Rattus norvegicus: one gene and its partners. The protein of the gene in region 2 purifies or fractionates together with the protein of the main gene of each other region. This does not show direct contact. Links are inferred from orthologs where the notes say so. Each region holds a gene or a part of one and is shown on either strand. Other genes may lie near its edges.

Region 1 (4,194 bases), on a different chromosome or scaffold from region 2:
AGGCTAAAGACGAGTTGATATAAAATGTTGCATTCTGTGTAAGCTACAGAAATGTTGAGGTCCTGTTTTTCCGAGTATGTTCCTGATGCCACTTCCCGAGCTTTGGGCAAGTAAAGACAGAGAAACTCTCTTTTCAAAAGATCTGGGCGTGGTGTGGCAGGTGGACCTGCCATCTCAGTCGTAGGGAGTCGATGGTGGAAGGAGGTGGGGACACTGGAGGACAGAGATGACTGATTATGCAGTGTTCTGAGGCACTCAGAAAATAACGCCTGTACTTACCGCCCAGCATTTAAAAGAAAGGTGGAGAGAGGGCACTGTACAGGCTGGTTTTGTGTGTCACTTGACACAAATTAGTTATCAGAGAGGAAGGAGCCTCAGCTGAGAAAATGCCTCCATGAGATTCAGCTGTAAGGCATTTGCTCAATTAGTGATCAATGGGGAGGGCCCAGCCCACGGTGAGCCGTGCCATCCCTGGGCTGGTGGTGGTCCTGGGTTCTGTAAGAAAGAAAGTAAGCGGAGCAAGCCATGGGAAGCAAGGCAGTAGGCAGCCCTGCTTGAGTTCCTGTCCTGACTTCCTCCAATGAGTTGGAAGTGTAAGCCAAATACACCCCTTTCTCCTCAGCCTGCCTTTTGGACATGGCATTTCATCGCAGCAACAGAAATCCTAACAAGTCTTTTCTTCTTCTGGCTCACTGAGCTAGTCAGACACTTACAAGTCACACTCTGCCCCACGTGAGCGACAGTCGGCCTTCTCCCATGCTCCAGAAGAGGAAAAGCCTAGACACTTCCTGGGAGTGAACCACTAGCAACGCTAGATGCAGCCCCAGGGCCCAGTTTCTCCCGCCTATGGGGCGGAGCCACAAATATCAATGGCCTTCAGCTTAGGGCCTTTGTGGAGCAGGTCCTAGGCTCTGCCCCCACCCGAGGCCAAGATTCTCTGGATCTAGGGGCGGGGCCGGGTCCCGGGTCCATCCTCTCAGCCTAAGTCCCCAGGGTTGGCTCTGGGTTGGCCATGTAGGGACCTGGGATTCGTCCCTCAGTATGGCCTGCCTTCGGGCTCTGGAAAGAAGAGGTGTCCCAAGCTCTGCCCCTTGGCCGGAACCTCAAGTTCTGGCCCTTGGGGCGGAATAGGTCCTAGACTCCGCCCGTCTGCCACCGTCCGAAGGTTCGGAAGGGAGGGCGTGCCCTGAGCAGACTCCAAGCCTCAGCCATAGCCTGCAGCTTCTGAAGGGAGGAGGTGTCCAGGCTCCGCCCCTAGGGGCGTAGTGAGGCCCAGGTCCGGCCCCTCTCTTGCTGCAGCTGGTTCCGGCCCGCTCTCCCACGGGTCCCGCCTCGCAGCCGGAGCGTCCGGAGGACCGCTCAGGGGGAGGAGCGCAAAGTCGGCCTGGGTTCTTGCTTGCACCCGCCTGTGTGCTCCGTGCTCCGTGAGCCCCGCTGTGAGCGGTGAGTACCATGCGGCCCCGGGGCGTCCGTGCAGGCCTTTCCCACGGTACAGACCCGGGAACACCCGGCGATCTGCGGGGAGGCCGTGGAGCTGGCTCCTAGGGTGACCTCTCTGCCCGCTCCCCAGCCTGCGTCGCTTTGTACTGGGAGTGGCTCTTCTCGGCGCCCCGAGAGTTCTCGCCTTGGTGTGCGGGCCGCACCGCCAGGGTGTCAGTCTGCGGGGCCCGGCCCACGGGATAGAAAGGAGCGATTGTGCCCGGCATGTTAGAGACCCCAACACAGGGGAGAGACAGGTGGAGTGAGGGTGAGAGACCCCTCAGTGGAAGGGTTGAGCATAGAGTCCAAGGAGATCGATTGAGGAACCTAAGGAGAACTGGACAGTACTGCTCGGCCAGGCCAGTGCACTAGAACCGCACATCTCCCTGCAGCACGCATGACAGCCTCCAAGCAGAAGTTGCTTAACTTCTGGATTTAACACCGGCTGTGCACCTAAGGAACCTTTGTTATATAGATTGTACCTATTGATATTTTGTCGTGTATAAGTACAACGAATAGACATTTAATATACTTAATTCAGAATAGACCAATTATATTTCACATAACGGTGTGTGTGTGTGTGTGTGTGTGTGTGTGTGTGTGTGTGTGTGTGTGTGTGTGTTTAAATCCTGTATTTTCCCAAACACTGTTAGGGCATTTTTTAACCTTTCTACAAACCTCTGCTTCGAGGAAGACACTCAGCCTGTTGCGGTATGACATGTCATGTAGTTTCTGTATACTTTCAAGTATATCATTGAAAATGTAACATTGTGTTGTTTAGAACTGGTGTTGACAGTCCAGATACTTGCACCTGTGTTTCTCTGCAGCGTATTTTAAAACTACTGAGGCAGCCCATGCTTAGAAGGCATAGTTCACTGGGTTTGCCACTTTGTTTATGGTTCTTCCGCTCAGCACCATGGAGCTAGTTAACCTCTGATAGATACTCAGGAGCACTGTGGACCTCACTTCAGAACTGAGTACGAGATCCCCACAGATGGTGGTGACTCTTGGCTTCTGCAAACTCAATGCCTTTCATGTGTATCTTGGTTGTTTCTATGTAAACATCCATTTCCATGTAAGCATCGGTTTGCTGCATTGATGTAGCAAACCAGACCTGTGGGTTCGGGAGGTGTGTATGACTAGGCCATGCCAAACGTGTAGGGGTTGGTGTAAGCTTACCAAGTAACTGAGAGGTCATCTCTAGAATATCAGGTGGCACGTTTTTACCTCCTTTCCCCGATGTTCAGTTCTGTCTGTGGTTTCTAGCTTTGTATTTGTTGAAGTATGTGTCCCAGTCTCTGAATTCTGCTACTTTCACATTCCTGGTGAGCTCTGTGTGTGGTCCTTCCTCTGACACTAGAAAGCAGATGCCTAGCGTGTCGGTGTGTGATAGATGGAATCCTGCTTTAGATTCTTCCCTTTGTTGCATGCTGTCTACATAAATTTGAGATAGAAAATGTATACATATTATCATTCATATATATACATATGTATATATGTGTATATATATAGCAAACAAAGTTCTTTATCTTCTACCCAAAGAGGCTATTGTGTTCGGGTAGAACAGCTTAAGCACTTTGGACAATACATTAGAAATTATTTCTGCACACGCTGTTGCTCCCACAGTTGGGAAAAGGGGACTGGGATCTAAACTCTGAGCACTTGTGTTATAGTATAAGACTTCACATTGATGCTGGAGTCTCCCTTATTTGTCCCTGGAGTAGATCTATATCTCATCCCCAACTCTTCTGGACCTTGGGAAATTGATAATTTTGAAAGATGAAGGGGGTTGGGGATTTAGCTCAGTGGTAGAGCGCTTGCCTAGGAAGCGCAAGGCCCTGGGTTCGGTCCCCAGCTCCGAAAAAAAAAAAAAAAAGAACCAAAAAAAAAAAAAAAAAAAAAGAAAGATGAAGGGCCTGTCTGGAAGTCAAGAGCATAGGTGACAACTGTTCCGTTGAGATAATTTCCTCTCTGTTTGTGTACATGAAACATGGTCATGTAAGAAAAGCAATATCTGCTAGTAAAGTGTGCATTGAAAGCACATGCAAAGGAAGCCAGAGGCCTACATGGGAAGACGACAGTTGAGATAAATGGCATTTATTACCATGTGCCTGGCAAACAACATTCTTTGTCTTGTTTTCTCCATTCTTCTGTATTGTAGGAGAAAATACCTCTCCATGGGGTGGCTATGGTCTGGATAGGGAAATCCCTTCCAACCTGTGTCTGTTCTTGGCTTAGCCTTGTGGAGCTTCATTGATCTCTCAGAACCTTAGTGTCCCTGCCTTTACAACTAGGCTGTTGATAGTAGGAGTCCCAAGTACCCATGGTTTCCTGAGAGAGATTCAGTGTTTGTGTTTGTTTCTTCTCAACTCTGTGTTCAGCAGTGTTACATTTCTGTAGCTTGGAATAGGCCATGATGAGAATATTTATTTACACCATGGAAGTCATCCAGCACTTCATGTCTGAGCTTTTTCTACCCAGGAACAAATTGCTAAACATTTACCAGCACACTGCTGCTGTTGTTGGAGCCAAGGTGCATCTAATTTGTTTGGTTTCTTTTCTTTGGCAAAACCAGACCCCGTGGCTTGAACAAAGATACAAGGTATGGGGTGTTTATTTTGAATTTTCCAAATTTTTGATAAATGGGGGCAGGGGAGGCTGTATTTAAAATATACTGATATTGATCAACATTTTGTCTCTCTCTCTCTCTCTCTC
Region 2 (3,645 bases):
CTAGGTTGTTGGGGATACAGAGTCTTGGTACTCACAGAATGTTAATCATGCAGGAGTGTCTCAATGGAGGAGATAATAATAAGATACCTGCATCCCATCCAGAAAGCTGAGAGTGGAGTTTGTTAATGACCTGGTGACCTTGCTGGTTGTGGAGGCAGACCACCACCCCCTTTTGATATAGAGACAGACCTCTCACTCAAATCCCCAGAATAATTACCCCAGACTCTTCTCCCTAGACCATTACTAATCCTTAGGGGAGATGGCATATGTACCTGCTATTGGTCAGAAACCACATTAGATTCTAGGTCTTTGAGCTATAGAACCAACCTTCATGGTGACATGAACTTTGTAATAAAGTTTCTATGTAGTCACACCTTAAGCATTATTGTGCACCTGGAATTGGCTGATATTACCTGGAAACCTTTTCCCAGATTGTACTGTGCTTTAAGTATGCCAGCAATGACTGCCTGGCGTTAGACGCCCCGCCGTCTGATCCAGGTTGATGAAGTCGATATGCAGTGGTCTTCATTCTTAATCTCTCTGAGTGCTTCAGCCTACTTCCCTGTCAGGAACTGCAGGGATCACCCCTCACTAACTTATGGGGGGAACTGGTAATTAGGTTTCAGATTTCAGTAATATTTTTTGATTTTTTTATTCTCTTATACAGCTTGGTGGGAAATGAATCTAGGTCTCGGTGTTTGTGTGAGAATTGTTACTGTAATGTTTTTATAAAGTGTCATATGCTTTATTGGAGTCTTGACAAGAAAAATGTAGAACATTTTCTTGAGTCGGATGTATTTCTGTCTAAGGAGGAGTCAGTCAGTTATCAGTGTTTTATAAAAATTCATAACTTATTGCCAACTTGAGAGTTAGTACAATACTAGTGGGCCATAGCAATATTAAAAATTCCAAAGATTACTCTTTCCTGACTGTCAGAGTATTTCTTTTGCAGGGTTCTGACTCTGGGAGGAGGACTGCCTTACTTGGAGCACCTGAATCTCTCTGGCTGTCTGACTGTAACTGGTGCAGGACTGCAGGATTTGGTCTCAGCATGTCCTTCCCTAAATGACGAATACTTCTACTACTGTGACAACATTAACGGTAATGCCTTTTAGCTGAGACATGTTGAAGAATTTAAGATTTTTGTAATTTTTTTTATAGTTTTTATTTCCTAACTGCACAAATTGTCTCACTTTCAGGTTTAGTCCTTTAAATTTAATAAATTAAAATGATTTGGTTCCTTAATCTAATAAAAGCAAAATGCCACATATTTTTACTTTGTGAAGGTAAGTTTCTTATCCATTGTACCAGAATTTTAGGCATGTAAGAGTTTAAATCACTTAAAAATGACAAATTGTTATAGAAATACTAAGATTACTTTAAGATTTTGGGAATTCCACTGTAGTATTCTAGCATTTACCCATGAATAACTTAAAAGTATTGATTTCTTAGGAATGACAGGATCACATTTTCTCACAGCACTGCTTTATTTAAGTTTGGTAGATAACAAAAGAAGACTTTGTTAATGGGAACTCCTCAGGAGGCACAGGCTTGACAGTTTCTATACTGTTTCAGAAGCTGATTCCTGAGCCAACTTAAAAGTCACGAGGCAGGGCATGGGATGTAGCTGGTTGGAAGAGTGCTTGCCCAGCATGCATAAAGCGCAGGGTTTAAGCCCCAGCATCACACAACACAAGGGTGGTGGCTCGGTGCTTGTCATTCACTTCAGCACTCTGGAGATAGTGTCAGTAGTTCAAGGACATCCTTTCTTTCAAGTTTAGCTTGGGCTATGTGAGACCCCATCTTAATCCCTACAGACACACAGACACAGACAGATATACAGGTACCACTAGTTAAACATCCCCCCCGCCCCCCCCATTTTTTTCTCGTCTGTTTTTCATTGAGCTTGTTCAAACATGCATTTTCAAATTATGTTTGTTGTTCTTTGGAGCATTTGATCTTATGTAGTAGAAACTGAATATTTCAGAAGCATAATAAAGCTGCTCCTTGATTATTAATAAACAGAACAAATCATCCTGCGTTTGTAACTGGAAACAGATTTAAATAGTCCCATTCTCTTATTCACCTATCTTTTATTTATACTGTATACTTTTGGTTTTGAGAGCCCAGTTTATTCTCAAATGAGAGGGGAGACCAGAGTTTATCTCAGGGAGAACAATCATGGATTCAGGGAAACTAGAGAGAATAATATTAGAATGCAGAGAAGTTAGCAAGTTTTCTATTGCTTAGAAGTTAGATTTCTCTTAAAATAAATGAGAAGAAAGGAGATCTCAGCTCTTATTTCTAGAAGAGTTGACATGTTCTTAACAGAAGCAACTTGGTGGAGCCTGTATTGCTCTCTCTTGATGGCAATGTAACCAAGCAGTGGAAAAATGATTCTTTTTAAATATCTAGCTGAACAAATAAAAGCAAAATTATGTTCATGAATGGAAGTTTTTGCTTACTGTTAAAAATAAAGCCATGGGGGACTGGACAGGTGACTCAGTGGTTAAGTGGATGACCCCATATTGCTATTACAGAGGATCAGAGCTTGCTCTCCCAATAGATTCATGTGGCAGGTCACAACAGCCTGTAACTCTGGCTCCAGGGGATCCAACACCCGTTGACCTCCTGTGGCCAATGCACTCATATGTATGTGTACCCGTGCACATGTCTATGCAGTCTGAAAGAAGAAAAATAAATATGGCTTTTAAAAACAAAGCTTCCTAAGCTTACAAGATTCAGTTTAAGATGAATACATAATTTTAATGAAGATATTTTATTTGTGTATTACATTTGAGTTGCTTATATAATTTTGGTGTAGGTTCCATTTGGAAACAAATCTCATAGTGAGTGAACTCTGTTTTGCTTAATGGAGATAGGTATTTGGTGGGAAGTGTAAAGACTTAGCTCAGTCTTATTATTTGCCTACTTACTCTGTACTTAACTGTTTTTAAACTTTTTGGAAAATATTTAGATGAAAAAGGTAAAGTGCTTAAAATCTTTTGTACTTTCTCAATATTTAATCTGTTTTGAATATATAATATTAGCATTCCAAAGGAGTTATTTACTCCTGTTAAATGTAAATTTTTTTATTTCAAATTTTTAGTAGAAACTTTTGAGAGATCCGACTTTTAAGGTTTGAAAGCTATTTACAGTTCAATAATACAAATAATACAATTCTAAATTTCCTTTCTTGATAGAGCATGATTTGGAAGAAATGGAAATGCTTTAAAGTTTATATATAATGCATTTTCTAGGAGTCTAGGTAGTTGCTTTTAAAGCAGTAATTAAGAGTCAGTCCTTTTTTGTAAAAGAATATACAATTTAGAACGTGCTGGAATTGTACCCACTTGTAAAAGGTGACACCATTGACATGGCTTCTTTGAAAAATACTCAACTTATACATGAAATACTTGTTGAGGGTTAAGAAGCGCTCATTTTTATTTCTGAAAATAGTAATAATCTAGTACATGGTTAATTCAGAGTAATGAGGAAGCACACATATTTGAAGTAACATTTAATTTAAAATGTATTTTGTTAAAAGAAAATCTACATGATTACCACATTGTTAGTAAAAGAAGTTACTGCTGATAAACTTTACTTGTAGACAAGATAGTAAACAAAAAGAGAGCATAGTCTGCC
Region 3 (4,292 bases), on a different chromosome or scaffold from region 2:
CCACAACCTGACAACAAAGACTCTATCAGTTGAGACTAAGAATACTAACTTAATCCTTCCTACATTTCCTTTCATTCTACAGCCCTTGCTTACAGGGCTGAACGCCTGTTACCTACAACAAGCCACTCAGACTCTCCTGCTGGAGTTCAAGGTTATATGATCCAGCTCTTTCAGCCCACTCAACCTTACTGACTACTACTCCATTGCACCAGCCTCCCTTTCATTAAGAGGAATCAATTACAACAGGGTTCACTTAGATGGGTTCTACAGAGTTAATTTTAAACCATACACGTACTACTAGTTTTGTGTCAGCTTGACACAGCTAGAAACATCATAGAGAAAAGAGTCCCAGTTGAGGAAATGCCTCCATGAGATCCAGCTGTAAGGCATTTTCTCAATTAGTGATCAGTGGGGGAGGACCCAGCCCATTGTGGGTGGTGCCATCCCTGGGCTGGTAGTCCTGGCTTCTGTAAGAAAGCAGGCTGAGCAAGCCAGAGGAAGCAAGCCAGTAAGCAGCACCCTCCATGGCTCTCATCAGCTCCTGCTTCCAGATTTGAGGTCCTGTCCTGACTTCCTTCAGTGATGGACTATGATGTGGAAGTGTAAGCCAAATACCCTTTTGTCCCCAACTTGCTTTTTGGTCATGGTGTTTAGTCACAGCAATAGAAACACTAAGACAAGATGACAGTTTAGGCTACCCCCTTTTTAGACTTAAACAAAAAAATGTATTTTATGAAAAAATAAAAGATGAAGGCAGTTATTTAAGTTATCTTTTTAAGATATGCATCCATAAAACCCAAAATTATTGTTCCCAGAGTGCACAAGTGTGGAAGAACAATTACAGATAGCATTAGATAGTAACTCTTACCTTGGTATGGGGGTGGGATTAAGTAAATATATGCCTCTGGGAAAAACAATGTTCCTGATATAGTTCATTGGATCTAAATCTTACCCCCAAATAAACCAAAAGTAAACACTAGTCAATGACAAGCTCAATAAGGAACTTAGAGATTAATGTATTGATTTCTGCAGTTTAAATGGGTAGGTTTGTGGTAATTCAAATTAAAAAAAAAATGTTAGTGATAGGTTCTAAGTAGTGATTCTATGATCTTTAAAAATTCTTTAAGCCGGGCAGGGATGGTACATGCCTTTCATCCCAGCATTCAGGAGGGAGGGGTTTGGGTCTCTGAGTTCAAGGCCAGCCTGGTCTACAGAGTGAGTTCCAGGATAGCCTGGAACTGTAAGCTCTCTCTACCAGAGAGAGCCTGTCTCAAAAGACAATAAACAAACAGATAAATAAATAAAGATTAAAATTCTTTAGATTTTGTTAAATGCTGGGAAATCTCCATAGGAAAATCTGGGAGGAAATGGCATTGATAATACCCCATAACAGACTATACTTGATAAAGTTGTAAAATGTTACAAGCTTAAGCAGGGCTTTTTTTTTTATAAGATAGGGGCTCACACTGTAGCTGAGGCTGGCCTGTAGCAAACTTGCCATCCCCCTCCTGCCAAATCCAGGAACTAAAGGAATGCATTACCAAGCCCAGTCAATAGCAGACCTTTTTTCCCTCTTGATGCTTCCCCCTTGATACTTACCTCTTACAACACAGTTGTCTCTCTCACTAATTATAATGTTTTGGTGACCATAGATAGTATCTTATTTGTTTATTTGTCCCCAATTCTTTTCATGCTGGGTAAAAAATATGTGCTCAGAAATGGAAAGGCAGAGTGCATGTAGACTATTGATTGCTAAGGACCAGAATATATTTCTAGTAGTTCATTTCTCACATTTTCTAAAAGTTAATCTGTTTAATTTGCAAAAGAAACTTCTTCTCTCATGAACTTCCAAACGTGATTTAAAAAACCCTACATCTATTTTGTGTTCTATTTCTTAAACCTGACTCTGAATGCCATTCAGAAAGAATTCTAAGGTGGCCCCCTGGAATTTTATTTGTTCAAATCCTGGATAAACTCGGAACTAAGAGATTCCTAAAATTGGAACTCTGGGGAAGAAGGATAAAAAAATGAGACATTAAAAAGTCATGAATACAATTTATCAAAAAGCCTAGGGCTGGAGAGATGGCTCAGCGGTTAAGTGCACTGACAGCTCTTCCAGAGCTCCTGAGTTTAATTCCCAGCAACCATATGATGGCTCACAACCATCTGTAATAAGATCCGATCCCCTCTTCGTTGTGTTAGACAGCGTACTCACATACACAAAATAAACAAATAAATTTTTCTTAAAGCCTACTAAGACACACTAGTGAAGTTTTAAAGACACTAGTCATCTACACGCCCACCGACCTAGAGCCAGACGGGCTCCTCCCCTCCTCCATCCAATTACAACCACTCAGACAGTTGGAGCGCACGCTACTTCCAGGACGGCCAAAGTGTAACCCTTGAAACACAGAACCTTCTCACGTTAACACTCAGCAAACAACGCGGTCCTGCGGTGCAAGCACCAGATTTGGACCTGAATACCCAAGTCCAAGTCCCAGTTCCACTACCGGGCTCGTTTGTGCCTTGAACAAGTCTTTTACTCTCGGAGAAATGTAATGATTATCTATGGATTACAAAGATGCGAAATGTAAAGAAGGCTTTAAGGAAGATGCAAACTAGTTAGGGTAGTAGCGCTCCCAGTGGGGGCCGAGCGGCCAGAGGACCAATCACAATCACCTCGCCCTTCACTCCCTTCCCGCCGCGCGCCCGTGCTGAGGCCGCTCCCTGCGGTTCGGCCCCTGCAGAAGCCTCGCGGCGCTGCTTGCCATACCTGCAGCCACCTGGTCAGCGGGCCCCTCCTGCTGACCCATGACGAAGTCTTGCACGAGGCCACACAGGGCGCCCATAGGCGCCGCTGCCTCCTCCAGAGCAGTGGCGGCAGCCATGACGCGAGCCAGAGACTGTGGGAGGGGAAGTGGGTGTGGCCACGAGATGCGTCTCTTCGCGCACGCGCCTCCACAGCCAATAGTTGGGCGCGGGCCTCGGGGGCGGGGCACTCCCAGGTCACGTGCCTGCCCGCTCTGGGCCAGGCGGTTCCTTAAGGGACCTAACGGCCCCTCCCCAGAGGGCGGGGCCTGGGCTGGGGCGCGGCTCGGGGAGGGGAAGTGACTGCTGGGCACGCAGCCGGGGCGGTTGAAGGCGCATAATTCCCGGCGGCTCTCCCGGGGAGACGGACTGCAGGGCGGGCACCTGGCTGGGTGGGGCCGAGGGGCGGTACGCACCCTAGGAGAAGCCAATGAGAAAACCAGGCCCGGCCCGAGGGGCGGTGCCGTCGGTCACATGCGCACCTGGGGCGGCTGGCGGCCGTGGCGCGGGCACCCCGAGCGGGAGGAAGGGAGCGGGGCCGGGCCGGGGCGGGGTTAGGCAGGTGAGTGACAGGCTCCGGGGGGCCGGCCCCAGCTGGGAGCTCCGAGTGATCCCGGAGTAGCTGCGACGGTGTCCGCCCCCTCCCTCCGCCCCTCCAGCCGGGCTGGTCTCTGGCCGGGCACTGTCGCGGGCCCCCCTGGCCTGGCCACCTCCTTCTCCCCTGGCCCGCAAAGTTTGTGGCGAAGCCGGCGTCGGGCAGAGTGCGCCCCAGGGGAGATCCAGGAGCTCCCGATGCCGGGCTGCGGGAGCCATTGACTCGGGGACGCCGCGGTTCGGGACAGCAGCGTGGAGCAGCCTGCCGACCGCCGCCTCTGGTGCATGGGGACCGGCTGAGAAGCCAGCATGGGCAACTGCGTGGGGAGACAGCGCCGGGAGAGGCCGGCTGCTCCGGGACACCCCCGCAAGCGAGCAGGTAACGCCAGGAAAGGCAACGGGGTCCCGGCGCGCTGCCAGTTGGCCCTTGCCTTACCCGAACCTTGGGGTTCCTGAGCGACCTCGCTCGGCGCTCAGCGTTTGGGTTCCCCCATGGCTTCTCGAGCCAGACGGGGCCCTCCCTGGAGCGGGCTGACTGGGAAGCGAGTTGGGGTAACTGCGAGCGCTGACCCGGCTGCGAGGCCAACTCGCTCCCACCGGGAAGCGGGGAGTGGGGGCAGGGGCAGGAAATGTTTCCAGACCGCGACGAGGCTGGCGCAGGGGGCCAGGCGAATGCGCCGCTGGTCTGGCAGCCCCGGCCGGGGTCGGCCGGCGGCCGGCTGGGGCGCGGCGTGGGCAGCCTGCGTCCCCAGAAGTCGGAGCGATCGAGGCGAACACAGTCGCTCATTCCAGAGAGTCACTGTGTCATTATCGGGCTGCAGGTCGTTGTCTGCGGGAATCAGACTTGCAAAAACAGTGCAGGACCATAGGATAGAAATCTTTATTTCCCT

What was found.
Region 1: the proteins of Fbxl5 (region 2) and Aco1 purify together in Homo sapiens (affinity purification with western blotting; 3 studies listed by BioGRID, with this or other methods). This does not show direct contact. The link is inferred for Rattus norvegicus from reciprocal best matches to the Homo sapiens genes FBXL5 and ACO1.
Region 3: the proteins of Fbxl5 (region 2) and Mms19 purify together in Homo sapiens (affinity purification with mass spectrometry; 4 studies listed by BioGRID and IntAct, counting the BioPlex papers as one, with this or other methods). This does not show direct contact. The link is inferred for Rattus norvegicus from reciprocal best matches to the Homo sapiens genes FBXL5 and MMS19.

The regions. Positions count from the first base shown.
Region 1 is NC_086023.1:60,054,569-60,058,762, forward strand, and holds the start of Aco1 (cytoplasmic aconitate hydratase), read left to right. Parts: upstream 1-1,326; 5' UTR 1,327-1,443; intron 1,444-4,194. UniProt on the Homo sapiens protein: Bifunctional iron sensor that switches between 2 activities depending on iron availability. Iron deprivation, promotes its mRNA binding activity through which it regulates the expression of genes involved in iron uptake, sequestration and utilization.
Region 2 is NC_086032.1:71,552,522-71,556,166, forward strand, and holds part of Fbxl5 (F-box/LRR-repeat protein 5), read left to right. Parts: intron 1-938; coding exon of another isoform or gene 939-952; coding exon 953-1,101; intron 1,102-3,645.
Region 3 is NC_086019.1:250,740,673-250,744,964, forward strand, and holds the start of Mms19 (MMS19 nucleotide excision repair protein homolog), read right to left. Parts: upstream 2,911-4,292; 5' UTR 2,889-2,910; coding exon 2,774-2,888; intron 1-2,773. Other genes in the region: Ubtd1 (ubiquitin domain-containing protein 1), read left to right, coding at 3,712-3,781. UniProt on the Homo sapiens protein: Key component of the cytosolic iron-sulfur protein assembly (CIA) complex, a multiprotein complex that mediates the incorporation of iron-sulfur cluster into apoproteins specifically involved in DNA metabolism and genomic integrity.